Linked DNA regions of Stegostoma tigrinum. The protein of the gene in region 2 purifies or fractionates together with the protein of the main gene of each other region. This does not show direct contact. Links are inferred from orthologs where the notes say so. Each region holds a gene or a part of one and is shown on either strand. Other genes may lie near its edges. The genes, in order: axin1, map3k1, map2k1 and dcaf7.

The links.
Region 1: the proteins of map3k1 (region 2) and axin1 purify together in Homo sapiens (affinity purification with western blotting; 5 studies listed by BioGRID and IntAct, with this or other methods). This does not show direct contact. The link is inferred for Stegostoma tigrinum from reciprocal best matches to the Homo sapiens genes MAP3K1 and AXIN1.
Region 3: the proteins of map3k1 (region 2) and map2k1 purify together in Homo sapiens (affinity purification with western blotting; 3 studies listed by BioGRID and IntAct, with this or other methods). This does not show direct contact. The link is inferred for Stegostoma tigrinum from reciprocal best matches to the Homo sapiens genes MAP3K1 and MAP2K1.
Region 4: the proteins of map3k1 (region 2) and dcaf7 purify together in Homo sapiens (affinity purification with mass spectrometry; 3 studies listed by BioGRID and IntAct, with this or other methods). This does not show direct contact. The link is inferred for Stegostoma tigrinum from reciprocal best matches to the Homo sapiens genes MAP3K1 and DCAF7.

What each region holds. Positions count from the first base shown.
Region 1 is NC_081376.1:42,034,559-42,042,373, forward strand, and holds the start of axin1 (axin-1), read left to right. Parts: upstream 1-4,803; 5' UTR 4,804-4,964; intron 4,965-7,815. UniProt on the Homo sapiens protein: Component of the beta-catenin destruction complex required for regulating CTNNB1 levels through phosphorylation and ubiquitination, and modulating Wnt-signaling.
Region 2 is NC_081354.1:124,099,407-124,106,263, reverse strand, and holds the start of map3k1 (mitogen-activated protein kinase kinase kinase 1), read left to right. Parts: upstream 1-3,841; 5' UTR 3,842-4,258; coding exon 4,259-4,575; intron 4,576-6,857. UniProt on the Homo sapiens protein: Component of a protein kinase signal transduction cascade. Activates the ERK and JNK kinase pathways by phosphorylation of MAP2K1 and MAP2K4. May phosphorylate the MAPK8/JNK1 kinase.
Region 3 is NC_081386.1:34,840,121-34,847,234, reverse strand, and holds the start of map2k1 (dual specificity mitogen-activated protein kinase kinase 1), read left to right. Parts: upstream 1-4,114; 5' UTR 4,115-4,643; coding exon 4,644-4,723; intron 4,724-7,114. UniProt on the Homo sapiens protein: Dual specificity protein kinase which acts as an essential component of the MAP kinase signal transduction pathway.
Region 4 is NC_081384.1:38,612,962-38,619,843, forward strand, and holds the start of dcaf7 (DDB1- and CUL4-associated factor 7), read left to right. Parts: upstream 1-3,862; 5' UTR 3,863-4,017; coding exon 4,018-4,314; intron 4,315-6,882. UniProt on the Homo sapiens protein: Involved in craniofacial development. Acts upstream of the EDN1 pathway and is required for formation of the upper jaw equivalent, the palatoquadrate. The activity required for EDN1 pathway function differs between the first and second arches.

The DNA.
Region 1 (7,815 bases), on a different chromosome or scaffold from region 2:
ATCAGCAATTTTAAGGGTGATACAGTATTGCCTCTTAAGGAAGATGCAACCTCTTTACCAATCCTTCAAAGAAACATAGTGCACACATTCAAGAGACGTTTCAGGTACGACTGAACAAGATTGGAGTGGCGTGGTATAACACCACACTGGCTAGATCCATTGTGTACATTTTAAGAACAGATGTCACTATACATTATGTCTTGATCCAAGCTACCTCAACCATTCACTTAAATGGTGTCCATTCAAAATGCCAACACTGGAAGACTTACATTTTCTGGAGTATGATTCTTCTGAAAGTCAGTTGGATACTTCTCTGTCCATTTAGCAGGAGAATCCCAACAGCTCACGACATTTAACACACTATGTGGATGGTACTCTTTCTGCCAATTACCATTTGGTGTATTAGTTCGCTAAGACCTGGTCCAGCAGCATGTGGATAGAAAGGATTATTAAAATGTACGACATTGTGTTTGCAATGCTAATGACATCATAATCGTAGGCAAGACAAAGGCAGAGCAGGACCACAGCTTTATCTACTAAAGGCAGTAACATGACAAACATGTCACATATTTAACAACACAAAATTCCAGATCAATATCAGCTGATAAACATCTTTGGCTGCATTTACTGCACCATGGAGTCCATCTTGATCTAGACAATGTCAAGGATTTTAAATAAATATTGACCCTACAGGATAAAGAGGACCTGCAATGTTACCCTGAATATTTTGAACTTCCTGATGCAGTTTGTTTCCAACATCTCAGACAATGTGCCTGTGCTGAAAGATTAGGTCAGGAAGGACATTCCCTATGAATGTTAAAATGACCACAAATACATCTTTGATTTTCTTAAGATAGTTCTGTCACTAAAATCTTGCCTCTGTAGTAGTATGACCCCAAAAAATACATGATTTTTGAAGTGGATGCTTTGCAAAAACGTCTAAGCACCTGTTGCCTGCCCAAGCCAACGATTCCAATTTGAGTGTGAGAAATTAGCTCTGCTATTCTACATAATGCAATTTCATACCTAGTTATTCGGCAGGAAGTTCACCTTTGAAACAGATCATGAGCCACTAGAAATGATCTGCCACGAACCATTAATGCATGCACTGCTGTGGTCACAGTTTCTAGATGTCAATGTGCAAGGGAATCTCTTCAAAGTGAAAAAGAAGCCGGGTACCAGGATGATTACATCTGATGGGCTCAGCAGGTTATCAAACACACACAAAGACCAAGATGTTCCTCTTGATCTACAGGATGAGTTTTATTTTCAGTTTATTCAGCATCATGGACTAGACAGAATCTGACAATTGACCACAGCTCACTGGTAAACCATTTCAAAACATGCACAAAGTGGGGAGTGACCCACATCACATCACCACCCCATTATCCATGCTCAAGTGGCCTAGCAAAGTGTTAGTATATACTACCAAATCAATGCTGATAAATTGTTAACATTCAAATCAAAATTTTCACATTGTGCTGATGCGTTTTCATATTAACACTGATAGAGATTGCCATCCCCAGCACAATTTATGCTTGAAAGAAAAATATGAACAACTTTGCCCAACAACCAATTTTCTAACCATTCCAAGATGTGAGACAAAGACAGAGGAGAATGGAAAAGATACACCACGAGTACACAGGTAGAGAACTACCAAAGGTGCACACCGGGCGGAAGATGTGAGATAGAAATACGAAGACCTGCTAGCAATGGCTTGTAAAATGTGCCACCAGCCCAAATCACATGAAGTCATCACTGATCATGGTGCTACGCTGCGACAGAACATAAGCCAGCTCCATACAACATACCAGTCAGGCACAAAAGGAATAAGGAAAAACACTCCAATTGGTCATTGTCTGGTGATGTTGAGTGATGGCAACTGGCAGCAAGGTAATCAAGATGTCAAACAAGTTGAACAGATAGCAATTTGCACCTCTCCAGACAGGGTAACAATCACTCGATCAGGAAGAGGTGTCAAACCTCCAAAGTTACATTGAAGTTTAAAATATTAATCTTGCAAGTTTTTCTTAACCTGTTTGCATAATTATCAAATTGACAATATAGATCTATGAATATCTGTTTCGGAGTTATGCTGACTTACTGATCATCAGACAAAACACAATAGCCACCTCCCCTATAACATTACCCCTGCCACTACTGATAAATCCATTTTAGAAAAGGTTGACTTTCAACTCCCCAAACTCTCCTACGCCCAAGGAGAATGGGGTATGTGGGAGACATTAAAATTAAAGCCACATTCTATTCTCCAGTTACCTCAGATTTCTGGCACTAGGAATCAGTCTCCAGCTCCTTTTATTCCATTAAATCCTTTCTAATTTTGCCAAGGCTTCTTTGTTGAAATCTGGATTCTGAACAGCATGAAACCACATCCTAATATCCCTGCATTGGCCACGTGGTCTCCTTCAGTGCTGTAACCATTCTATGATATGATTATTCTGTGATTTTGTCTTGAATGCTGTCAGCCTTCCACTAACTTTTTACTAGGCAATGGGGAAAATTCACAAGAATTGGAGAGCTCCTGTATGTAAACCCTGCGATATTTTAAAACAGGTATCTGTTCCCTGGTGAACAAGTGGTGGGTAGAAATGTGATCCTTGATTTCAATTCTGCAGGCACATACAATATTACGCTTTGAATTTAATAATTCACTTCATATGGGGTCTGAATCCAAAATAGTACAGAATAACTTGCCACTATTAGTAAGTTTACTTGACTAGCTAGTTTGAATCTTAGAATTAAAGCATTAATATACACATTAAATGCGCATGAATGAACCTTTGTTTTATAACACTCACTTCCAGCTCAGCAATGTCCAGGTTTCTTTTGGCCTTGTTTTAATTTTAAGCGGAAAATTTTATGCTTCATTGAAGTTGATGACACAATGGTTTAATCTTGCCACAACGCCTTTTGATTCAAACAGTAAAAGAGGAAATTGTTTTTGAGGAAATTATTCCCAAGTAGATTTCTCTCCAATGGAAAAGTCTCGACACTGTTTGTTGTTCAAAGATGATGGTCTGTGTTGGCCAAGGTTTATCACAGATCTGACCCATAATGCTTGCAGATACTCAGAGAAAATACGACAAAATTAATTTGAAAGAATTTAATGTCCTTCTGATAGAGTGGAACAAGTGAAGGAAGCATCGGTCCCAAGATCATTGTGGTTGGTACCAGAGGGGTGGATTGAGCCAAAACTGGTCCATTTTCTCTTCAGGAATCTTTGTAAATGCTCAGGATGGAAGAACATACTTACAGGAAATAAATGATGCAAATTTAGCAAGAAACAGGAAAGGGGTTGTAGGGAGATCAGGGCTTCTGTTGGGGAGGTGGTCAAATAATAGTTAACGCACCTTTATATAGTGGCGGCTCCAACTGTGCGGTGTTTTTTATTCACTGTCAGATTTTGGGAATCATTGGTATTTATTGTCCGTCCCTAACTGGCGATGAGAATGTGATGATGAGCCATTGCTTAAAGCCCTGTGGTCTGTGAGGTGTAGGTACATCCTTTGTGACTTAATTCCTGCAGCAGTTATGATACAATCGAGTGGCTTTTACACTGTCTTAGAGAGATGTTAAGAATTTCTGCCTTCCTGGAGTAGGCCAGAACGGGAAAGGATCAGTGACTTCCTTCCTTGAAGGGTACTAATGAACTAGATGGGTTTTCATGACAGTCTGGTAGTTCCATGACCATCATTACTGAGATCAACTTTTTATCCCAGATTTATTGTACATTTTTTTTGGCCAAGTCTGAGTTGCATCAAGTTTTTTTTTCGTGGTTTTTCAGCCATGAGTTTACTTTAACTGGTTTTTTAACCCTTTAATGGGTTTTCATCCTAGCTTACCAAACCTGCCTCATTAATTGACCGCCCAACCCCTGAGGCATCGCTTTCTAATTTCTGCCCATCTTACCATGCACCATTCCCAGGAAACTCACCACCCAGTGGAGGCTAGTACCTTTTGCTTCCTTGCCATCTGTAAAAGGCAGTTTTGACATTCCAAAGCAGCCCTGCCCAGTGACAGACAGAGTCGGAACATGGCAGGGAAGGGGAAGTTGGCGCCTTGATTGTCCAATAAGGACCTCAAAGTCCTGGTGAATAGGATGGTGAAGCAAGAAGTGCCCTCTTCCCAGAGGATCGCTAAAGGAAGGAGCACCATCAAACACTGCCAACTTGGTCTGAGGTCACCACCCATGCCAGTGCCCGCTCCAGGGTGAGGAGGAATGGCCAGGAATGTAGAAAGAAGGTCAATGACCTTCTTTGCATCACGCCTCCACACTCTGCCACCTCACACACGATCTATCAGTCCCACTGCAGGCTCCTTTTGCCAAGGTTCATACCCCACCACACTCGCCGCTGCCTGCAACACATTCCTTTACCAGCTTTGCCCACTCACCGTCCACACTGCCTCCTCATTCTTTCAGAGCACACCTTTTGCCTGCACTATTAGCTGGGATACCCATTGTTACCTCACTTATTTGCCCCACCACTTCCCACCTTTCTCCTTGCATTACACGGGAAAGCTGCCCACAACGGGGCAGGTAGAGCCTATTCCACAGGCGGGGGGACAGTGCCTGATATCATGTCCCAATCTGTATGGGAGGAAAATCCTGACCCTCACAGGAGACAACCAGGACTGCCTCCTGCAGGGATGCAACACAGTCATGTCCCAACAAATGAAGTAGGAATGACATGGCATGGCACTGTCTCAATGGCACACTGTCACTCTCAGTCATTGCACACCTCTTCCAACCATTGGTCTTTTCTTCCTTTTGTCTTACAGGCTCTGCAAACCTCCCAATGGCTGGTAGTGGAAGAATCACCCTCCTAAATCTCTGGGGATGGGAGTATGGAGGCCTCAGAGGAAGCATCCTGAAGACCTCAGCATCTCAGATACCAATCCCCTGGCGGGAACTATAGGCACACAGTGTGTGGCTTCACTGTCTGGTAAGCACCTAGCCACAACAGCTCTGCATCTGGCACTCAGCAGTGGGCCTGAGACTTGGCACTTGCTCAGCTTTCAGCAGGAGACGTCCCTGTGGTGTCAGTAAACAGGAACGTGATCCTGGGCGAGCAGGGGAGGGGGCTGTTGTTTGTGTGGGGTTTTACCCCAGTCCAGGTTCCCGTCTTCACAAGGGGATAGACCGGTGGCCAAGGAGCACCCAGATGGTGGTGGACCTGTATTCTGGCCTTGAGGCAGATAACACTCAGGGCCCTGAAGGGGCTCTCTCTCTCCAGACAGCCTGTCCCTCCAACCCTTGGAGGTATAAGCCGAGGAGGGTCACCTTGCCTCTGGGAAGAATTCTATCGCGTGCCTGGCCATCCGGGCTGAAGCATTGTGAAGTTTGCTGCACCAAAATTCTAGGGACAATGGGCTCCACTGCTGAGTCAGGGAGCGCACTGAGTTACAGTGAGACAGAGAGCAGGAAGAAAATATCCTGAGGGCACTTTGGCTGCCCCAGTGAAGACAGCTTTTCTGTAAATAGTACATTGTCCATGAAACTTTCAGATATTATTAACATCCTTCCATGTGTTTGCGAATCCATCTGTGTAATGCACCTTCACACCAGCAATGACTCATGGCCACAGATGAGGCTCCTGGAGAGAGGTCTGTACTGAGAGCCCAATGCATCTGGAAGTGAGGGAAGCCCTCTGTGTGCAAAGGTGTACAGCTCAATGAGTTGCCCACCAGTGGCTGTGTGAGGGTGGTGTAATGTACAGAGAGGCTCAATGCTGTCAGCTAGCCTGGCTGGAAGCAACTTGTCTGCTTTACCTTTCGAGGCCAATGTATACCCCTTTATAAACCATTTGATCACTGATTGCCTCTGACCCCTCCCTTGCAGGTCAAATCATTTATAGATGACATGAAGATTGCTGGAGTTTCTGATAGTGCCAACGATTGTAAAAGGATACAACAGGGTATAGATAGATTGGCAAGTTGGGCACAAAAAAGGCAGATGGAGTTTAATCCAAACAAATGCGAGTTGATGCATTTTGGAGGATCAAATTTAGGTGTGAATTATACTGTAAATGGCAGAACACCTAGGAACGTTAACATACAGATGGATCTGGGCATGTAAGTCCACAGTTCCCAAAAAAGATGCCCATAAGTGGCCAAATTGATTAAGAAGTCATATGGCATGCTTGCCTTCATTGGCCTGTGCATGGAATAGAAGAATTCGCAAGAAAGACGGCAGCTGAGAGGAGATTTGATAGAAGCCTACAAAATAATGAGAGGTAAAGATAGGGTGGAGGCTTTTTTCCAGGGTTGAAGTTGCAATTACAAGGGGGCACAGGTTCAAGATGAGAAGGGGAAAGTTTAAGGGAGATGCGTGAGTGAAGTTTTTCATGCAGAGTGTGGTCGGAGCCTGGAATGCACTGCCAGAGGAGGTAGTAGAAGCGGGCACATTGGCAACATTTAAGCAGCATCTGGATGGTTACATGAACAGGGAACAGTGGGATATGGACCAAATAAGGGCAAAAGTTTTTTAAAATTTAGTTAGGGCATGATAACCGGCACATGCTTGGAGGGCCGAAGAGCCTGTTCCTGTGCCATATTTCTCCTTTGCTCTTTCATTCCATAGCCACAAGCTTCAGGCCTACTGTGTCATCCCAAACATCCACAGTTCCTTCCCAATAGAGAATCCTACTAGCTCCACACTTTCCCAAAGCCCAAACCAACCCACCTAAATGCAGCTACAACTGCCTAACCTACCCACCCAGCCCCTGGCATATAGTGACCATGCCAGGTGTGATTCCCTTAAAGCCAGAGTGCTCCTGTCCATGGACAAACCCAACCACCCTGTCCCTCCGCATAACCCCCTTCCCAGCAATACTATACTGTCTCCTCCACCCCTTGCAAATTCATCTGCCACCACCCAGCACTTCCCCCCACTTTCACTATTGTTAGTAGACCCTTGACAAGAGTTTGCAGCCCTTAGTCCCAATGAATCTGTTGCCGAGGCTCGTTGCCATGGCTACACCCACACTTGTCCCGCCTCCCCCTTACATTCTATGAATGGAATACAAATAACTGGCCACAAGCCTCCCCCCTCAACCCACATTATCCAACAGCCACACAGAAGATGTGCCCAGATCCCTGACTGGGGCCTGTAAATCTCCCCGACCGTTTTAGATCTACTGACTGAACCTGGCATTACTGACTGTGTCCACTCCCCGAGAACGGCCCCCAGCCCCTGATCAGACTCCTGGCCATGGTCAACCTCCTGGACTTGAATGGGAGGCTGCGTTTGACTCAGTGTACTGGGCCAGCCTAACAAATGCCTCTTGTGAGCACTGCTCCTCTCAGAGTTGGATTCATGTCTGTCTGCTCGTTGCACACTCAATCAGTTTGCCAGCTAAGCTGCAGGCACATGGTGCAGCTATGAGATTGATGTGGCACACTGCCACACAGCAGGATGTGGCTCCCCCTGGGCTGAGGACTGCATTAACAGCAAGGCAACCTGCTTGTTGGGTGACTGCATGAATTGGCATGGCAAGGCAAGGCATGGATGCTACTTGCATGGCAGTAGGCAGTAAGTGATCACTAAGAGAGACAGCAAGCATTCCTACAATGCAGCCTGGTCCAGACTGCCAGTAAGGGGCCTAGCCCTGTGCTCAAAATGTCCCTCCTGCACCTTTCAGGGCCAGTATCTGGTGCATCTTGCAATGCAAGTCTGTGCTTCCAAAGAGCACTATCAGTGTATCAGAGGGGTGCCTGGATGGTTGTGGGTGGTTGCCTGGTTCTAGATGGCAAAGTCCACTGAGCAGGAATGTGTTCAGCTGGTGTCCATGAATT
Region 2 (6,857 bases):
GAGTTCAGGCTCTAAAATTATTGAACTCAAAATTGAGTCCAAAGGGCTGCAGGGTCTCTAAGTGGAAAATGAAGTGTTGTTCTTCCAGTTTGTGCTGAGATTAATTGGAACACTGCAGCTTGCCTGAGACAGAGGCGTTGGCCAGGGAACTGGAAGTTCAGTGTCATTTTTGCAGGCAGAACAAAGATGTTCTGTAAAGCAGCCACCCAGTCTATGTTTTGTTTCCCCAGTGTAGAGACCACATTGTGAGCAGTGAATGCAGTAGACTAGATTGTGAGCAGTGCAGGTAATGTGCTGTTTCACCTGGATGGTATGTTTGGGCCTTTGGATACTGAGGAGGGAGGAGGTAAATCGGCAGGTGTTACATCTTGGGTGATTGCAGGGGAAGGTGCCATGGAGTCGGGAGGTGGTGTTGGGGGTGAAGGAAGAGTGGACCACGTTGTCCCAGAGGGAACAGTCCCTGTGAAGGGCAGACAAGGGAGGGGGACTTGCTGGAGGTGGCAGAATGGCAGCTGATGATCTTCTGCATGAGGATGCTGGTGGAATGGTAGGTAAGGACAAGGGGAGCCCTATCGCTGTTGCGGGAAAAGAGGGTATGAGGGCGAAAGTGCGGGAGATGGATCGGACCCGCTTGAGAGCCCTGTGGAGAATGGTGCTGGGGAGGTTGCCTGCCACTTTAACACACCACCCTGCTCCCTTACCAACATCTCTGTTTCAGGCTTGCTGCAGTGCTCCAGCAAAGCCCAGCACAACAACACCTCATTTTCTGCTTAGGGACCCTGCAGCCTTCTGGGCTCAACATCAAGTTCAATTATTTTAAGGACTGAACTCTCCCATGTCCTAGCCCACAACCCACTAACCAGGCCTTATTCCGCACTATCTATTGTTAGCCACTAATAATCTTCATTAAAAGAGATAGTAGGAACTGCAGATGCTGGAGAATCTGGGATAACCAGGCGCAGGGCGGGATGAACACAGCAGGCCAAGCTGCATCATAGGATCAGGAAAGCTGACGTTTCGGGCCTAGACCCTTCTTCTGAAAATTAACAGTTATTCACCCTCCCAGCCAGATCGTTATCCACTCCTTTGTCAGTCCAAATTGTTTCTCTCTCTTTGGGCTCTATTATCCCCACCTATCATTTACTCTTTTCCACCTCCTCCCACCCTATCTTCTGCAACATTTTCCTAGCTACCAGATAAAGTGTGAAGCTGGATGAACACAGCAGACCAAGCAGCATCTTAGGAGCAGGAAAGCTGACGTTTCAGGCCTAGACCCTTCCGAAACGTCAGCTTTCCTGCTCCTAAGATGCTGCTTGGCCTGCTGTGTTCATCCAGCTCCACACCTTGGTATCTCGGATTCGCCAGCATCTGTAGTTCCTATTATCTCTGATACAATTTTCCTAGCTACCATGAGTTCTGAAGAAGAGTCACCAGGCTTGAAATGTTAACTCTGTTTCCTCTTCACTGACGCTGCCAGACCTGCTGAGCTTTTCCAGTAACTTCTGTTTTTGTTAAAGAAACTTATTTTGTGTTCTGTTAAATCTTTTATATTTATCACATTCTAAACTACTGAACAATTGGGAAAGGCTACTTCCCTGTATTCTATCTATTCATTTCACATTTTAGCAAACTTCTATCACATTTCTGTGTGTTCTGGATAATTTTATTTAAAAAGTTTTCAGTACTTCTAATCTTCCTTTACATTTGTATTTCTTCATGCCATGTAACATTCTGGTATTATGCCTTGTATCTTCAATGAAGCTTTTGACAGTTCTATTCTGTGAAATTTAATAGTGCACAAAGTATACTAAAAGGGATCTCAATGTTTTAAAATGGGTGATGATTGCCTTCAGCTTTTATATTCTATATCTCTTCTGATTCAACATCTAAAATTCCAAGTTTTTCTTTTGTAATTTTTGCAATATAAGTGCTGTCTTTCTTGTCCAATACCTTGTGCCCCAAATCCATTTCTTTGCTCCAAGGCAAGCCTAATTCCTATGAGATAATAACTACCATTGTTTCTTAAACCAAATGTAGCACTGCACATTTAAACTGATATTAAATTCTATCTGTAATCGTCTTTGGTACACACACACACCAGCAGGGTCAGGAACAGTTTCTTCCCGGCTATTATTAGACTGATGAATGGACTCTCTAGCCTCAAATAATGCTGATCTTGCTAACATTGTTCTTGCCTAGTGCATACCCTGTGCAACGTAATCAGTATGCCTCTAAGTCTTTTTAAACAACCTTTGATCTGTACATCCTTACTTACTATGATCTGCCTGTACTCGTCCTAGACAAAGCTTTTCACTACACTTTTGTACATGTGACAATAAATCAATCAATTGCAACTCATTTTGCCTTGTAGAAAGGGAGATACATATCATATTTTTAGTATTGTCTGCAAACTTCAAAATTAAATCCTTCTGGCATGTATTCAAATTATTCACTTGCTTTATAACAAAAATTACTTCACAAATATCTTGTCTAATAATTATTTCCAATGACTCTGCCCTTAACTCTTAGGGGATTTAATCCTAGAAGAATTTTCACTTTTGCTGTCTGTGTGGCAATATGTCAGATGGGATGATCTCCACAACCAACAGATAAGCCACCTAACCAAAACCTAAACATCGAGACTACAAAGTGTAGAGCTGGATCAACACAGCAAGCCAAGCAGCATCAGGGGAGCAGGAAAGCTGACGTTTCAGGGCTAGACCCTTCTTTTTCAGAAAAATACATCTTGTTGTCTCACATTCTCCAGCATCTGCAGTTCCTACTTTCTTTGCAACAAAGGTGAACATTACCTCCAATCTTTTCAAGAATTTTACTTCAAATGTGTATGGAGGCCTAGCGGCTCAATGAAGTGTCCTGCTTCTAAGGGAGAAAACGCTGGCTGCGTGTTCCATTCTAGGTCTCTTACGCAATGGGGAGAAGTTCATTTGGCTGTTAATCTTTCCGAGACTTCACCATTGGGGCAAGCAAAGGCAGAAACAGTGTACGAGTAAATACAAAAAGAAACTTAGCATCATACAAGCAGACACAGAGTCCATAAGCCTCTCTGATGGAGTTATCCGCTTAGTTCCATACCTCAGTAGTTTTGCTATACGATTTGTTTTGAATTATTTCATATCGCATTTCATCTTGGATCTCTGCAAATCAGAACCACACAATCTAAATTTAATAAATGGAAAACAAACTGTATCTCAAGCAACACGCTGTAACATAAAAATAATATTCTGGAAGTTCTAGTCCACGGAGAGGTCTTAACTTTTCAGGTTGGTAACTTTAATCAGTATTAGAAACATACACACCGGGTTTTACGCATGTTCAGAATTAAGGAACGGGAGGAAGAAAGAACAAAGGGAAATGTGTTTTAGGACGGAAATCTTTTGAAACGTTAGTAAAGATTGTGCTTCCACCATTGTTTCTGCTGGGGTGTATCACATCCTAAAAACATTTTGCATATTAAAAATTAGGACATTTCAATATTATGACATTTTAAATCGACAGACACGCCACCAGAAAACATGTATTAACTCAGTCATCGCCAGCGTTTGGTGTATTTTGCGTTGGAGATTTCTGTTCAGTGGGTGAGACCCAATTGTTGTCCAGCCGACCGACCCGCCCGCCCGCCCGCGACCCGACCCCCAGAAGTGAATGAAGTGATTGAGCGACATGCAGGAGGAGACTTTCCACGATCGATTTCAGCGTCCGGCCGAGCTGTGCATGAGGAGAGGAGATGGGGCTATCTCGAGGGAAGTTTGTCCATATAAGGAATAGGGCCGGACCCACGGGGAGCAGCGGCGGCTCGCGCGCTCCTCCTCGCGCTGCTGCAGCAGCACATTTGAGAGTGAGGAAAAGAAACGGCCAAGTTTGGTGTCAGTACTGTGTAGCAGCCGGCAACACTGCTTGCCTTCTCCCGTACATACCTACCTACAACCGGAGAGAGATGTTATTCACCACCCTGAGCTGGGCCGGCGGCAATCCACTTTAACGACGGCGGAGAAGTGAGGGGGCGGAGCGGGACCGAGGAGGAGGAGGATGTGAGTGCGGCTCCGGGGCGGCTGCTGATTGACTGAGCGGCTGTGTGTGGGGAGGAGGGAGTCGGTGTGGTGAGGGGCTGAGCTCCGCCCGGCTGTATCTCCTGTACGGAGGAAGAGGCCGCTCATCTCTCTCTCAATCCCCCCCCATTGGGGCAGAGAGGGAAGGACGGGGGGCGACGGAGGAGGCCCATGAACTGAGACAGGACAAAATGGCGACGGCGGGCACCGGGAGCCGGACGGTGTTTACCGGGGACACCGGGACTGGGAGCCGCGGCAACAAGAGCTCGGAGCCGAGTGAAGAGCCGGCCTCGGCCCAGAAGCAGCTCGCGTTATGCAGAAAGCACCTCCGTAAAGTCAAGAGTGTCGACTTCGACGCCTCGGTGGAGAAGGAGCCGAGTTCGGACCTGTGTCTGCCCCATGCCGGAGCGGAGCAGCCCGCGCAATCCGGCGGCACTGCCGGACCAGCAGGATATGGATATGGGGGCTCGGCCGGGGCCATTCTTATGGATATAGGCCCTCCGTTCAGGTAAGGAAGGCACTGCCAGGTAATTTCCCTCATTGTTTGTGATAACAGTTTAACTGTAATGAGTAGAAGCGTAACATGAGGGGAAGGGGGATTTTTGTGGGGGGGGGGGTGTATTGGTGGGGGAGCTGGAACGGGATGGGAAAGAAAGGTGAATGAAGGGTTAGTGACTGGGATTGGTCCCACTGTTCCCGCTGCTGGCGGAATATCTGCTGCAGCGTCAGACATTGAGGCTGAATGTAAATAAACAGTGTGTCCTGTAGGTACATGTAACCGCAGCTACACGAGATTTCCCCGTTACACTAAAGATTTTGGTGTTTTGTTGGAGATCTGTCTGCTCAAGAGTCTTTCCTTGCCAAGCCCAGTTTCCGGAATATTTTGAATATGTTGTCGGTTGTGTTGTCATATGATCTTGTCTGATCTTTGAAGAACCAGCCGTTGTTCTTAACTCCACTAGATGTGCATGTCCGTCCGGTTGAGTCATGTTTCATTGAAAGTTGGCGATAGTGGTATACTTGGAGCGGATTTAGCGCGGTGTATGTAATACAGGATTTTGTAGCATTTTATGGTATTGTGAATGTTTAAGGGGGTAATGATATTCGTTAGGTTCTTGCATGCCCTGTTTCGTAAACTTTCATAATGGGACAAAAACAAGACGTCTCCCCCCCCCCCCGGTTCTACAAAAAACTGACCGTACTTGGGATTCAGGTTGCAAGTTTGATGTTTCGCCCGTGAATTTAAGCAATGTAGTAGGATGTTCATAGCACGTGAACGAAGACACGCGTCTAGGATTTCCTGTCATTTTAGGCTTTACGCACTAGCCATGAATTTGCACCTCCAAGCGCAGATTAAATGACAGATTCCTCTACCGTCTTGTGCGTTTGAAATAAGGTACTTCATTTTTAGGTCAAAGTTTTGTGTACGAGTGGATTAATAATGTGTTGTACTTGTATTAATTTTTGTATGCTGTAATTACTTAACCTACGTGTAAGTGGGAATGTTAGTTAAGTTGTATGTCGTGGGGGTATTAATTTTGTGGAGTATTACTAGATTAGTGTCAGTAACTGCGTTTCAAACCTGCAAACTCGAGCGACTTTCATTTTGTGTTGAATCTGAATTGGAGTCTAGCTGCTTTTGGGACATGACTACGTCAAATAGGCGCGGGGGAGGGGGCGGGGCGAATATGTAGTATTTTACTCGTAGATAGTTTAAGGAGGGTCCCAAAGGTGATATGTAGAGGAAACTGTAGTATAAAATATTCGTAAATGTGGGTGCTGCATGAATAGTTGGGCATCGGTTAGCTCAGTTGGCTAGTTTGCAATACAGTAACGCTAACAACACAGGTTCGATTACTATTAAGTACCTACAATCTCAATTTCGCCCTTTGCCTGAGACGTAGTGACCCTGGGATTAACCCATCGCCAGTTCAATGTGTGTGTCTCTCTCTCTCTCTCTCTCTCAAAACAGTCCTGTGGCCCCCTGGGGCTTTGGCGACTTTACTTTGTAACTATGTTAAAACATTTAGAAATTGTTTTTTGTAATGTCGCCACTTTCCGGGAAAATTCAAAGCGAGGAAGTGTAAACATTCGTCTGTTTGAAGTTAACGTGAATTTGTAGAAGGGAAGTATGGTTTTATTTCTAATGTCCGCAGGCGAATAATTTATTGACAGTTTTCTAGCAGTGAAGCAATCGCTGTCACCTTTTTTATCAACTTTTTAGTGAAGCAAGAATACAGTGTATCTGAACACTTAATGGCCCTTGCATGAGCTGTACATGGAGCAGCAAATTTGAATAGAATTTGCTTTGACTTCTTCTCATTGCTGGTTTCACAAATCTTGGCTTTTATTTATCAATCAATAGAAAGTTTTCAAAACAACTACTTTCTGGAGCATTTCTTTTCTCCAGTAATGTTTTTGTTGGATGGCAAGAGAGAACTCTTAAATGTGGATTGTGAGGTGACCGGAATATAAGAATTGCCCTTGCATAGATTTGACTTTTCAAAGTCATTAAACTCTTGCAGAAATGTAAGCAAAAGTTTGTTTTGTTTTATTTTTCTTGTTACCTGCTTTGCATATAAGTGGAGATGATATTTTAGTAATTTTGTCATCTCTACAGCAAGGCTTTCATTGGTCCCACAAATTTGGAACTATTGTTCTATAGTTAGCATGCTTAACAATACAATTCTGATGTAGTTGCTTTTGTTTTCTGGAAAATAGTTTCATTACAAAATCAGTTTCCAAGCCATTTTCCCATTACTGAACACTGAAAATAAGTATATATTTGTT
Region 3 (7,114 bases), on a different chromosome or scaffold from region 2:
TCCTACCTACCACCGCATCCTGCCTCCTTGACCTGTCTGTCTTCCCTGGACTGACCTATCCCCTCCCTACCTCCTCACCTATACTCTCCTCTCTACCTATCTTCTTTTCTCTCCATCTTCGGTCCGCCTCCCCCTCTCTCCCTATTTATTCCAGTTCCCTCTCCCCATCCCCCTCTCTGATGAAGGGTCTCGGCCCGAAAAGTCAGCTTTTGTGCTCCTGAGATGCTGCTTGGCCTGCTGTGTTCATCCAGCCTCACACTTTATTATCACAGTCACTTAATTGATGTCGTGTATCTTTAGCAGTAGTGAAATTTGTAGATGTCCTTGAGTTCTTTGGTGAATAGATGTTTCTTTAATTTGTTATGTCACCACCTGCTGCTTTGTGAGAGGCTAAGAGATGTGATTTGACACAGTAGACCTACCAGTTCTGCTATTTTCAATCCAAATTCGCACTCTCTTCTCTGCCCCAAATGTAGTTTGCTTGAAATAAAGCTCATTTTTGTATCCCTGTGTCTATTTTATTGTTCTCCTCAAAACAATGGGATCACATCCCTGGAAAATCTACAAGTAAATTTCATCCAATGTATGAAATTTCCAGAAAGGTGTAAATTATACAGCAGATGCTGATCTGAATAACACCATTTTAATGAGATGTTAATTTCAGTTAAGATGGAGTCTTGTTAGTTTATGGTTTCATGAAGTTTGTGTCAACCTGGTCAGGTCTTCAATGTGGTCATCTTAAGAGAGAGTTTTAATTTTTGAAAAACTATTTTTGTCCATGAAAGGTCCCAGGTGTTAAAATCCAGTGACAGGATTTAAAAATCAGTCTCAATTTGCCACTTTCTTTGGTACATGCATACACAGAGTACAAATTTCCTGCCTCGGTTACATTGCTGCTCTCCACACAAGGGAATATTAAGTCAATGTAAATCTTTGCTGCTTGTTTCCTGCAGAATCACACTTCAAACCCCTTGCAAATGAAAATTTCTGATAAATGTCCAGATTCTTAAATGTAATCATATGGAATACCAAAATATCTTTACATTCCCAATATTCAGCTCCTCTTACAATCTTTCGGCAATTAATAGGGTTTGGATACCAAGGAACTGAAGAGAATTTAGAATAGTGCAGGAAGATGTAACCAAACATTTAGTGAACAACAGACAGACCCCAAAGGCTGAATGGCCTGCTCCTGCACCATTGTCATACATTCTTGACCCCTGAGCCCCAGCAGAACAGGTTCTATCAATCCCTGTGGAACATTTCATTTGCATCACTTTGCTTTTGACCTTACAGCTATAAATTCTTTTCTAAACAAATAATGAGGCAACCAACTTTTGATGGATATTTTCTGAAGTGGCATAATTCAATCTGGATAAAAAAATTACACTTTAGTGTGAATTTTTAAGCTGTTTTCTTCAATTCACAAACTAAATAATCTCCTTGCATCTACTTCATCTGTTCCTCACAGAATCTAAAGACTTGAAGATGGCTCCACCTGCATATGCATTTCTCTGCTGTTCTGTGAATATTCCCCATTACACCAGGGTTCAAGTTCTATAATAGTCTTTTCCATTATTGTCTGAACTTTCTCCAGTACTCAGTGCACACAGTACTCTAAATGTAGCCTCATTAGTGATCTACGCAAAGCCAGAGTAAGTTGTTACATGGAGTGATTTAATCTTCCACTGGGGGTTTGGTCCATGTCAGAAACCACAACTATATTTCTCAATAAGATTACAGTCTTATAATTACTTCCTTGTTTCCAATATTGCTACAATATATTCTTATATTACTTGGATAACTCAAACAGAATTTCAGCCTGTGTCCACACTGTATTTAATTGCGTGGATGCAAGGGTTGCCACTGGATGTAGTGGTATAACGCATTGAGCCATGATATAAAGAATGTGGTAGGAGTGGTGCAATGTGGTGCAATGCCTGGAACTCTGTTACATTTTTCCTTCATTAATAATGAAAATGAATTGCGAGCTTTAAAAAAATTTAGTTAATATTCTACGTAGAGCAGGTGATTTTTTTCATCAAGTGCCCGGTTGAAAATCTAAGTTGTATTCAGGGCTGGCAGCTCCTCAATGCTCCCACTCTTTTAAAATGTCCTTCCCTTATTAGATTGCAAAATGGAGAGTTACATTTTTGATTGGGATTGAAGATCATAACTTCAGTCTTCCCAGTTTTAATTGGGAAAAAAATTCTGCTCCACTTATCCTGGATTTTGAACAAACAGTCTGATAACTTAGTGACACGTGAAGAGTTGAGAGAAGTCATGGTGACACAGAATTGAATATTTTCAGTGCACATCAGAAAACCATCACTATGTCTTCTGGATAATGCTGCCAAAGTGTAGTAAACAGATGAAAAGTACGAATTATGGAATTTAAAATAGAAATAAAAACTAACATCTGTAAAAGTGGCCATGAAACTGTCTCAAAACCAAGATGTTTTGGCAAAGAACTTGACATTCTGGTTTATGTGTGATTCCAGTCCCATGTGAAAGCAGTGAATAGCAATTCAGTCCTACCATGCAACAATCCGTGAAGGTGATGCTCCACTGCCAACCCTTCCTCCACTTTGGGGAAATGAGGGCTTGCCAATAAATGCTGACTTGGCCTTTAAGAATGTTACTCCATCATGTTGCTGACAAGAAATTGTACATCAAAGTCCATTGGTTGCTAGTATCAGAAAGTTGTAATTGTGCTGTGGAAACTCAGCAGGTTTGGCAGCTTCTGTGGAGAGAGAAACAGAAAAAACTTTTTAAAGAACAGTTATACCATGCTCGAAACATTAACACTTTCTCTCTCCATAGATGTTGCTAGACCTGCTGAGTTTCTTGAGCATTCTCTGTGGTTGTTTCAGATTTCTTGCATCTGCAGTATTTTGCCTTCATTTAGGTGATAATTGTGGGTTTGAATGTTATTTGGAGGGACTTGGGGAGTGGCTGATGATAGATGGAGCTCAATTGAAGGTATATGCTAAGAGGGAACAGAAAGATAACACAGCAGGCCAGGCAGCATCAGAGGAGCAGGAAAGCTGATCTTTCACTTCAGGACCTTCTTCAGGGTTTTCTGCTTTCCTGCACCTCTGATGCTGCCTGGCCTGCTGTGTTCCTGTTGCTCCACACTGTGTCACCAGCACCTACAGTTCTTACTATCTCTGAGGGAACGGAAAGATTATGTATTTATGTGGGGCACTCACTAAGGGACGTGGGACCATAATTTGACAGACATCAAGGCCTAATAAATGCCAAAAGCATTGAGTCAATGGACATGAAACAAGTAGTTAGATGAATGCAAATTTAACTATTACAAAGAATGAAACAAAACTTTAACATGTCTGTACAAGAGACTAAGGATCGGATTCGAAGAAATATTTCAAAAATGTGACCTACAAAGCCACCTAAAGGCTAAACTAAGCAATTACACTGTGACCCAGTCAGTGAAATATCAACAAAATTTTTAAAAGGGAAAATTCGATAGTGACCATAAACATCGGCAAAAGTAGATAATTAGAAAATATGTGCAGACTGTTGCTTTAGAACATCTTACTTCACTTCCACATGGAATGAAGGGGAAGTGGAGTTTATAGCTGAAGAAGGCAATTATCTACCCCATAATCATGAAAAGCCTTCAAAAAGTAAATCACTGAGTAAAGAACTCGGTGACATTCTGATGTTGTGGAAAGGTGCTGTGTGACTATAACTCAGTCTGTAGTGTATAAACTGTTATCCCTATGTCCATTTTAATAATGGGAATGCTTATGTAAACCTATCACACTGAAAAAGACACACCACCCCGTAATTTTCATTCTAAACGTAAAGAAAACTTTATAATAGAAAACAAAGTTTAGTCACACATAGATTATTTAATAACACATAAAGCACTTTTGTTGAGACCTAGTTAAAACCACGTTATAAAATAATCACTTCTAAATACCCAAGTTTTATATATCCATTTGCTTTTCCTCAAATGACTCTTTATATTCTCCAATTATAATTGGGCGTGTAGTTTCTAATTTTGACAGTTTCCTCTAGGAACTGACTCTATTGCTCCTGCACTAAAGTCGGTCTATGGAGTTAGGAGGAAATTCTCTTCGTTGAAGGCTGCCTCTGCCTGAAAGATTTCTCTCTGTCCAGGACTGACCGAGCAGCATGCACCTCACATTTAAATAGCATGCCATTTTTTTTGCGTGTAGATATATCGGTGACGCATTTCCGCAGACCCAGGTTGGGATTGACGATTTTACAGACAGGGAAAAATGTGTTCCCTGAGAGGTTGGCAAGTATCACCGGGCAGAGTTCGGTGAAGAGTATCAGGCGCCTGCAGCTTGTTACATTGTTACCTCCGCCCCTGAGAGCGGGCACAGTGCGAGGGCACCGGGCTCTTTGGGAGAGGGGGGGAGCCTGTGCTGAGGGCGGGGGGTTGTTTTAGATCCTCAGGAAACGAGAGCTCGCAGCGTTTGACGTTTCTCGCGAGCAGCCTCGCCGGGAAAAGGCGGAACTGAATTTGTAAAGTAGCAACAAAACGGACAGAGCGGCGGCAGAGTGAAGGAGCAGCTCTCACTTGGACAGACACAAAGCACACACGTGTGTGTGTGTATAAAGCCAGCGCCGCTCCCTCTGGCCACAACATGCCCAAGAAGAAGCCGGGACCGATCCAGCTACACCCGAGTCCCGATGGCTCGGCTCTGAATGGGACCACTTCCGCAGAGTAAGAGAATTCCTCTCCATCTCTCATTATCCCGGGAACAGCAGCAGTAACGCGGATTCCTCGCATTGTCCTGAGCGGGTGACTGAGGAAGAGAATAGTGTTTCTCTTTAGGACGGCGGGTTGTAAATATCTAGGCAGTGGGTTTCTCCAGTTTCAGAGCAGGTTTAACATGGGACCCGCAGGGTGTGGGCCTGGGTTCTTTCAGAGAGAAAGGGCACATAATTTGATTTGAAGGAGCTTTTGTTGCCTGCCACGATATTTACACACGTTGAGACAGCCTAGTTCAGTCAACCTCCGCCATTCCCCGAAGATAAATATACTGTTGAGCATACTTGTGGGCAGAGTGTTTAGGGAACGATCTGATCCTCCTGTGAGCTTTTGAAACCATTTAGTTGATATCCTTCAGAAGGGTGGAGGCAGGGGGTCAGAACCAAATATCATCTTAAAGGAGATGTGGTTTAGGGGTTTGAGTATAAATAATGGATTCTATTCTTTTCTATAATATAAACTCCCTTGGGCAGTTTACTTTGTAAATGATCCCATGTAAACATCACACTGCAATTACGACTTCGTTCCTGTGGAGGCAGCACACCACCTCTAGGAAGTGTTGTTAAGATGCGACAACTTTAGGTAGACTTTGCATTGTATGTGAACATGGGGATTTCAAAATGTTCAAGTCGGCAGGAATAACATGTAGATGAGTAATATAGTGACCTAGAATTTATATCCCTGGACTTCTATATAAATTTTAATGTGTATTTTCATGTTAGTGTTGTAGTCAATGATGTTGTGAGAATTGGACAAATCTTTGGCATTTTTAATTTTCAGTCGTATGCTAATATAAATAACAAAAGCATGCCTGATTGCAGGGCAGCAGAGAATAACCATGTATTTCTGATATTTTACCTTTGTGTCGCAGTCTCTTGTCTAGTCTGAAAGGTGGTCTGTCTGACAGTGAAGCACTCCCTCAGTACTGTTGGGAATGCTGGCCTCAATTTCAGGTTTTATCTTGAATGAGGATGTGACTAACTTGAGACTGGTTACAATAATTTGGTAATGGGGTGTTGTGCCCGCACTGAACATTAACGGATGGCAGCCTGGCCAATGGAGTTTCCAGCTGTAGTTACATTTTCATTTTTTGGGGCTGGACTGCCCCTTTAGGCTCCAAAACTCCAGTCTGAGCAGATGACACTGCAGCCCCCTCTTAGTCTCCACTGAGATTGAGCTTATCTGTTACGGCCCATTGACTTACTGAGTCAGGAGAATAGGGGATGAAGTTTGCTTTCAAACAGTTCATCATTGAGGGAGTGCTGTACAGTCATGGGTGTCAAAGTTCAAACTAGCTGTTAAACCGAGTCAATGTGATCACCTCGAGTGGATACAAAAGATCATGTGGCTTGGTTTGAAGAAGAGCAGGGAGAATCTGATCAGTACCCTGGGGCTAGTACTTAACCATCATAGATCTGTTTGTGGGATCTCCTGTGCAAAAATTTGCTGCTGTGCTTCCTACAATGTAATAGGGATGGCACATCAAGAATTACTTTTATTGGCTTTAATCCAGTCTGGGAAGTCCTGATTTATGGAAATCATTATCTAAGTGCAAAGCGGCACAGTTGCTCAGTGGTTAGTACTGCTGCCTCACAGTGCCAGTGACCCAGGTTCAATTCCAGCCTCGGGCAACTGTCTGTGTAGAGTTTGCACGTTCTCCCTGTATCTGCGTGGGTTCCCTCTGGTTTCCTCCCACATTCCAAAGATCTGCAGGATAGGCGCTTTGGCCATGCTAAATTGCCCATAGTGCCCAGGGATGTTTATGTTGGGTGAGTTGGACGTGGGAAATGCAGGGCTAGGAGAATGGGCCTGGATGGGATGCTGTTTGGAGAGGTGGTGTGGATTTGTTGGGCAAATGGCCTGTTTCCACACTGCAGGGGTTGTGTGTTCTAAGTCCATTACCCTGTTGCAAACGAGGCCCAACTTTTGGAATGGACCATGAATGTTCAGGGTGGCAGCTTATGTTTTCTAGTAGCTGTTGTTTGAGATGCAGTTACCACCTAGTAATTCCAGCACATGGTCAAAAATGTGACAAGCAATCTGGAAAAGCAGTATGGGAGATTACAAATTCCTGGGATTGGCCTGTTTGGAAGCAGCTGTGGTTGCAACTAGAGGAAATGTAGTCCATAGAATAATGAAACGCTCTTCCATTTGATACTAATCATTTAACTTGGAAGAAGCAGAATGTCAAGTAGCTTTAATTTGTGGCTGTAAACATTGAATCATTGTGAAACCCAGTAATAACACAATAGCAAAAATGAAATTAAAAAACTGGTTACGGCATGGGCGCACATCATTTGGCCCATGATGCTGCTACTGCTGTGTGCAAAATCAACTCTGCTT
Region 4 (6,882 bases), on a different chromosome or scaffold from region 2:
TGAAGAAGGATTAATAGTCCAGTGCTGTTACTGCTACACCCTCATCTGATTCCTGTTTTATTATTTATTCCCAAGCCATCAATTTTTTGCCTTAAGTCTTTCCTGTAATATCCTGCCTTTTTCTGCTTACAATAAGGCCACTTATAGTTCTTCTGGATCACTCACCCTACCATCTTACTACTTCAAAACTTTTGCTATCATCCTTTCTGCCAGGACGTGGGTCTCATCCCAGTTCAGATACAATATGTTTGATTGGTGCATCTTCTTTCTGTCCTAGAATTGCTGACGTGGTGCATGAAAAAGTGCCTCTCTTTCCCACACCAGCCAGTTAGCCTCATATTAATTCCCCTGATACATTTGCTCCATCACCAGTCTGAGAGTCTCACAATAATCCATGTGGCCCTTTCTTATTGACTTGTCTTAAATCCCCATGATCCAGCTCCCTATCTCTCACACCTCTCCTTTCCTGATGCTGGGTCTTCTGTGACCATGTTCTGGGCAAAACTGCCCAGAAACTCTGCCACATTCCTTATGTCAAAGTCATCTGATGCCAGAAGCCCACATCTGTGCGGGTTAGAACTGTTCTAATCTCCAAGTGCTATCTCATCTGGTGCATATTCCCTGTTCGGTGCCATCCATCTACATGCTCCCCACTGGGCAGGCACTCCACCGCCAAGCCTCAACCAACACAGGGAGATGCTGTATTGAGACAGCTTCGCTTGTTCTGGAGAACCATACATTGTAGAAACTACAACTGTCTGCTTTTATTGTGGATAATAGTGGATCGTAACCAAGCTTTGAAGTGCTACCATCACTGGCTGAACAGAAATCACCGTGCTAGAATTGCTCCTGGCTTGTTCCCAACAACCAAACTGAATTGACTGGCCACACCGAACCCAAGAGCAGTGGGTCTTCTACAGTCCTGGGTGATGGTTATTGGTTCCTGATGTATCTCCATGAACCAGGATCTACCTGCCACATCAGGTTATGAATAATGAATAAAAGTGAAGTTGGAAAAGCAGAGCAAGTCAGGCAGCATCCTGTCTGAGCTGCTGTGCCTTTCCAGATTCACATCTATTGACTCTGGCTTCCAGTATCTGCAGTCCCTAATGTTTCTAGGTTATGCACAGTGATAGACAATGACAGAACTAACAAGAAGATATAAAAAACCGAAAGAACTATGGATGCTGTAAATCAGGAACAAAAACCAAGTTGCTGGAAAAGCTCTGGCAGCATCTGTGAAGGAAAAAACACAGAGTTAGCATCTCTGATCCGGTGACCCTGATTTCTGAGACATTGAGAGCTGCGTTCTGAGGAAGGGTCACTGGACCAGAAACATTAACTCTGTTTTTTCCTTCACGGGTGCTACTGAGCTTTTCCAGCAACTTTGTTTACTTAACAAGAAGAGATGCTAGGGAAGGTGATATGATAGCAACATTTAAGAGAGATTTAGCCACAGGAACATGCAGGGAATTGAGGGAAATTGATCATGTACAATCAGGTGGGATTTGAATAGCATCATGGTCAGCATGGACATTGTGAGCCAAAGGGCCTGTTCCTCTGCTGTTCTATGTTCTAAAACAAAGTTCCAAAAACCTTCTAAGCTATGATTGAGGCCTGCAAGTGAGAGCAAAAGACAGGTTGAAGAATTTGCTATCATCAGCCACCAGTGCTGAGTGGACAATTCATCTCGCCTTTCTCTGAGATCCCCAATATTATAAATACCAGTTGTCAGCCAATTTAATTCACTTCACGTGAAATCAAGAAACATTTTAATTGACTGGATGCAGCAAAGATTATTGGATCTTACAACAACCTGACTGTAGTAATAAAGAGTCATGTTCCAGATTTGTGAAGACTGGTCAAGCTGTTCCAAAACAGGTACAATACTGGCACTATCTGACAAGGAAGAAAATTGTCCAGTAATTTCTGTCTGCAAAAAACAATGTAAATTGAATCTTGCAATTATTATTCCATCAATCTTCTCTTGGTCATCCACAAACTGATTGAAATTGATTGTTTCTGTAAGTACTTATCCAACGCTAACCTGTTAATAAATGTTGAGTTTTGGTTGTTTGTCCCACCTCGTTACAGATTTGTGTGAAACATAAGGAAAAAAAGTTTCAATTTCAGAAGTGAGGTGAGGTGAGTGAAATTGTCAGTAAAATTAAAATCAGTTGGAACTAGAAAAATCTTTCCACTGCTTGGAGTCATTACTAGCACAAAGGAAGGTGATTGTGCTTGTTGGCCATTTATCCTCAGCCCAAGGAAAGTGCTGTAGAATTTCTATGAGGTAGTGTTCTAACCCCAGCGTCTTCATCGACAGTCATCTCTCCCCAAAAATCAGAAGTGGGCTGTTTTGCACTGTTGAACACCTTAGATACTAAAACATTCTGTGTTTTCATTCAGGTTTGGATGATAGGTGACAGCTAACGTTTATGTCACTTGTATGACTGGCAATGACCATTTCCAACAGAGATTTTCCCATTGCCATTGCCCAGAAATCTGACTGGACTAGCCTTATAGATTCAATGAATATAAGTGTCGCGAATCGTGCAGTCGGTTCTCCTCTACTCCTCAGAACCAGTCCACCATATGAACATAAGACATAGGAGCGGAAGTAAGGCCATTCAGCCCATCGAGTCCACTCCGCTATTTAATCATGGCTGATGGGCATTTCAACTCCACTTCCCTGCACTCTCCCCGTACCTCTTGATTCCTTGTGAGCTCAAGAATTTATCAACGTCTGCCGTGAAGAATTCAATGTCCTGGCCTCCACTGTGCTCCGTGGTAATGAATTCCACAGGCCCACCACTCTCTGGCTGAAGAAATGTCTCATTTCCATTTTAAATTTACCCCATCTAATTTTAAGGCTGTGCCCACGGGTCCTAGTCTCCCTGCCTAACGGAAACAACTTCCTAAATTCCACCCCTTCTAAACCATACATTATCTTGTACGTTTCTATTAGATCTCCCCTCAACCTTCTAAACGCTAATGAGTACAATCCCAGGATCCTCAGCCGTTCATTGTACATTAAACCTACCATTACAGAGATCATCCATGTGAACCATCTACAAGTTAGGAACATAATGGAGAAAGGTTGAGAGAGGGAGCTGACTTGATAGATTGAGACGGTCAAGGCCTGGATGGGCATGTGTGGGGAGGGTGGTGTAACGGTGGGGGTCCCAGTTTGAATAACCACCATCTGACCCAGAATGACCTCTGGGGAATCTCACTCACGGTTTGCTCTCCACAAACTTCCGGAGTGGGTTAGGGCGGGAATTTGGACATTGTATCATGACCATCCACCAACTGTGGGTGTGAGGGTGATGGGGGAGGGCCGCAGTGCATCAAGCCGGGAACCTGCTTTCGATTGGTCCGCACGGCTGTCATTCAATACCGTCTCGGGACACGGAAAGCCCGCCTCCCCTATGATTGGCTTTCTTCGTTGCCCATCAGAGCGTGTAGGGCGCGCGAATCTTTGGTCCCAATGTATAACTGCCCGCTAATTATCTAATCAGCCACTGGGCCTGCGCCTCTCATACTCACTCTGATTGGTGAAACCACTGTCAATCAAGCTGAAGGTCGTGTTTGATGTTCAAAACTCACCCAGCAACGGACAAAAAAAACCGCCTATCAGGTTCCCAGAATTCTTTTGTCCGCACAGCTGTCAATCAAGGACGGGGTCAGCGCCCGCCTCATTGGCTGGTTTCGATTGGGTAGATTCTATGTCACTCATTCGGCGCTTTAACATTTTTACCAATCAAAGCCAAGATATCAAAAGTCGGCCCCCGTCTTTATACTGGACTGGTTATTCGAACGGTCGTTCGGACAAGGACGGGCTGTGATTGGTGAAAGAGGCTGTCAGTCAGCAGTCGGTTTCCGTTGTGACTTTGAGCGGTTTATTGTTGTTGGGCCCGGGCCCAGGGCAGCAGGGCGACGGGGAGAGTGAGAGTGAGCAAGCGAGGCTGGGCCGCGCTGGGCTCCGAGCGCACGGCCTGACATCGCCATCCCAAGATGAGCATGCACGGCAAGAGGAAGGAGATTTATAAGTACGAGGCGCCATGGACCGTGTACGCCATGAACTGGAGCGTGCGGCCCGACAAGCGGTTCCGCCTGGCGCTCGGCTCCTTCGTCGAGGAGTACAACAACAAGGTGCAGATCGTGGGCCTGGACGAGGAGAGCTCCGAGTTCATCGCTCGCAACACCTTCGACCATCCGTATCCCACCACCAAGATCATGTGGATCCCCGACACCAAGGGCGTCTACCCCGACCTGCTCGCCACCTCCGGAGACTATCTACGGGTCTGGAGGGTAAGGAGATGCCGCAGAGTGAGGCCTGTCTGGGGATTTGGGGATGGCGGGAGTAGGGGAAGAGGGGTGATTAGGGAGAGAAGGGATTGGTTCTGGGAATTGGGGTGATGTAGGAAAAGGTGGGTGGGGAATGAGGGGTTTAGGAAGAGAAAGTAATGAAAGTAAATTAGGGAGAGATGAGAGTGCACGATTTAGGGGTGAAGAGTTGAGGGAGAGTACGGTGGAGTGGACAATAAAGTGGTAGTGGAGGAAATGGCTTGGGAGAAGTATAGTACGCAACATTGTGAGCTATTGGGATAAGTATGGCAGTATTTTTTTCCCCTGTACTTGATAGCCTGTGAGCAGTGAGCCAGGTTGGCAGTTGATTAATCTTTTGGTAATGGGGGTAGTTGTTGTATAGGCAGGTTGAACTTCAGTTTAGTTTGAGAAGTGAATATTCTCCATAATGTAGCACCTTCTTGGTTTTCCCCACAGTTGCGTTGTTGGTCATGATGCATGATTAGTGCTTTGTTATTTTATGCCCTGATTTGTCTGAAGTGAAACCAGTAAAGACACAAGAGGCTTTCAGGTCTTGAAGCTTACTGGTACAGTCTGGAGAGCATTAACGTATTTAAAGTTTTTGAGGAGAGTTGTAGCTCGGGTTGTGGATGAGGGGTGTAGGCTTACTTGCCAAGCCGGTGTGTTTGGTTGCAGATGTTTTGTCACCCTGCTAGATAACATTGTCAGTGCATCTCCAATGAAGCGTCGGTGTTCTGAACCACTTGTTGTTTATGTGCCTCGGTTAGATTAGATTCTCTACAGAGTGGAAACAGGCCCTTAGAGCACCCACCCAGACCCATCTTCCTATAACACTCACACCCCTGAACGCTACAGGCAATTTAACATGGCCAATCCACGTAGCCTGCACATCTTTGGACTGTGACATCTTTGGTTGGCATTACTTCCAACTTTGTGTTTCAGTGGTTTGTATATCAGGTCCAGTTCAGTGTGTTTGGAATGCCAGGTCTCCAGGAATCCCCTGGCATGTCTCTGTTTGGCTTGTGCTATTACGGATGTGTTGTCCCAGTTGAATTTGTGCCGCCCTTTGCCCAAGTGTTTTGAGAAAATTAGTCGTTCCTGTTGGTAACACAACACGGCCAGATGTACAGCAAAGACATATCCAAAATTACCACAAGACTGCTCAGACTCCTAGGTATCAGGGTAGCCCACAAACCAACAACCACCCTGCGACATACACTGACGAATGTAAAGTATCCCATACCCACAACCAATAAAACTATTGTAATCCACAAAATACCACACAAGGACTGTGAAAAACATTTACATCAGCCAAACTAGAAGAAAACTGACAATAAGGATACATGAGCACCAACTAGCTACCAAGAGAATTGACCAATTCTCACTGGCCTCAATACACACTGACAAAGAACAGCACGAATTCGACTGGGGCAACACATCCATAATAGCACAAGTCAAACAGAGGCATGGCAGGGAGTTCGTTGAGGCCTGGCATTCCAACCAGAACTCCATCACCAAACACATAGAACTGGATCTGATGTACACACCACTGAAAACAGAATCAGAAGTAATGCCAACCACCCCAGCAAACTGAGGCATACAAATAACAAGCAGGACGGAGTACCAGTGCTTCACTGGAGGCAAGCCGATGATGTTACCTGGCAAGGTGACAAAACTTCTGCAACCAAACACACAAGCTGTGTGAGCAAATTTATATTGTTCATGTGTTTTATGGATAAAATGTTTGTGAATTTTTAGGAGATGTTTTTGTATGAATGTAATCACTGGTGTAGCATTGTTCTAAAGCTCAAGTAGCAAATCAGAGACCAAAAAGACTTTAGTTTGACTCATACGCTGAGTAACATTAGCTGTGCTCAACCAATCAGTCATTGGTATTCTTCTTGTAATCTCATAATCTTATTCAGCGAAGGAAGAGACAGCAGACAGGGTTTCCCATCAGCTTTTTCTTACTGCTCCGTATGGAGTGTGCTGTAAGTTGCTTGTGTTTGGAAATGAATAAGACTGCTCTCTTTTCTGGACATTACAGTCCTCTTGCTCTGGGTTTGTATGTTAAAAAAATTGACCATGTTCTGGGATTTTGGGTATAGAATCTCATCCCAGTGTCAGAAGGATTGAATCGAGTTGTGAATTGGGAGGAATTCCCCCACTGCTTAGAAGAAATTTAGTTGATCGTTGAGTTATCAGTGCAATAAACAAAAGAGCTAAGAGAAATAATGCTACATCCTTGTCGTCTGGACTTCTACAGAAATTGCTTTCCCTGTCTATTTTTTTTCCATCCTTAATATTTATGTCAAGCTATCTGCTTTATGCTTGGATGAATGTGTGAGAGTTAAACAGGTACAGATTATCTTGCCTTGTAGTAAGGTTGTAGTCCCTATTTGTTTGTTTGTGAAAATATTGATTTGTAGTTGTCACGTACTCTGATACAGTGAAAAGTGTTAGTTTGCATGCTATACAGGCAGATCACATCATACAAAGTGCATCAGGATAGTAGAATGAAGTGTCACAGCCGCAGAGAAGGTTCAGCGA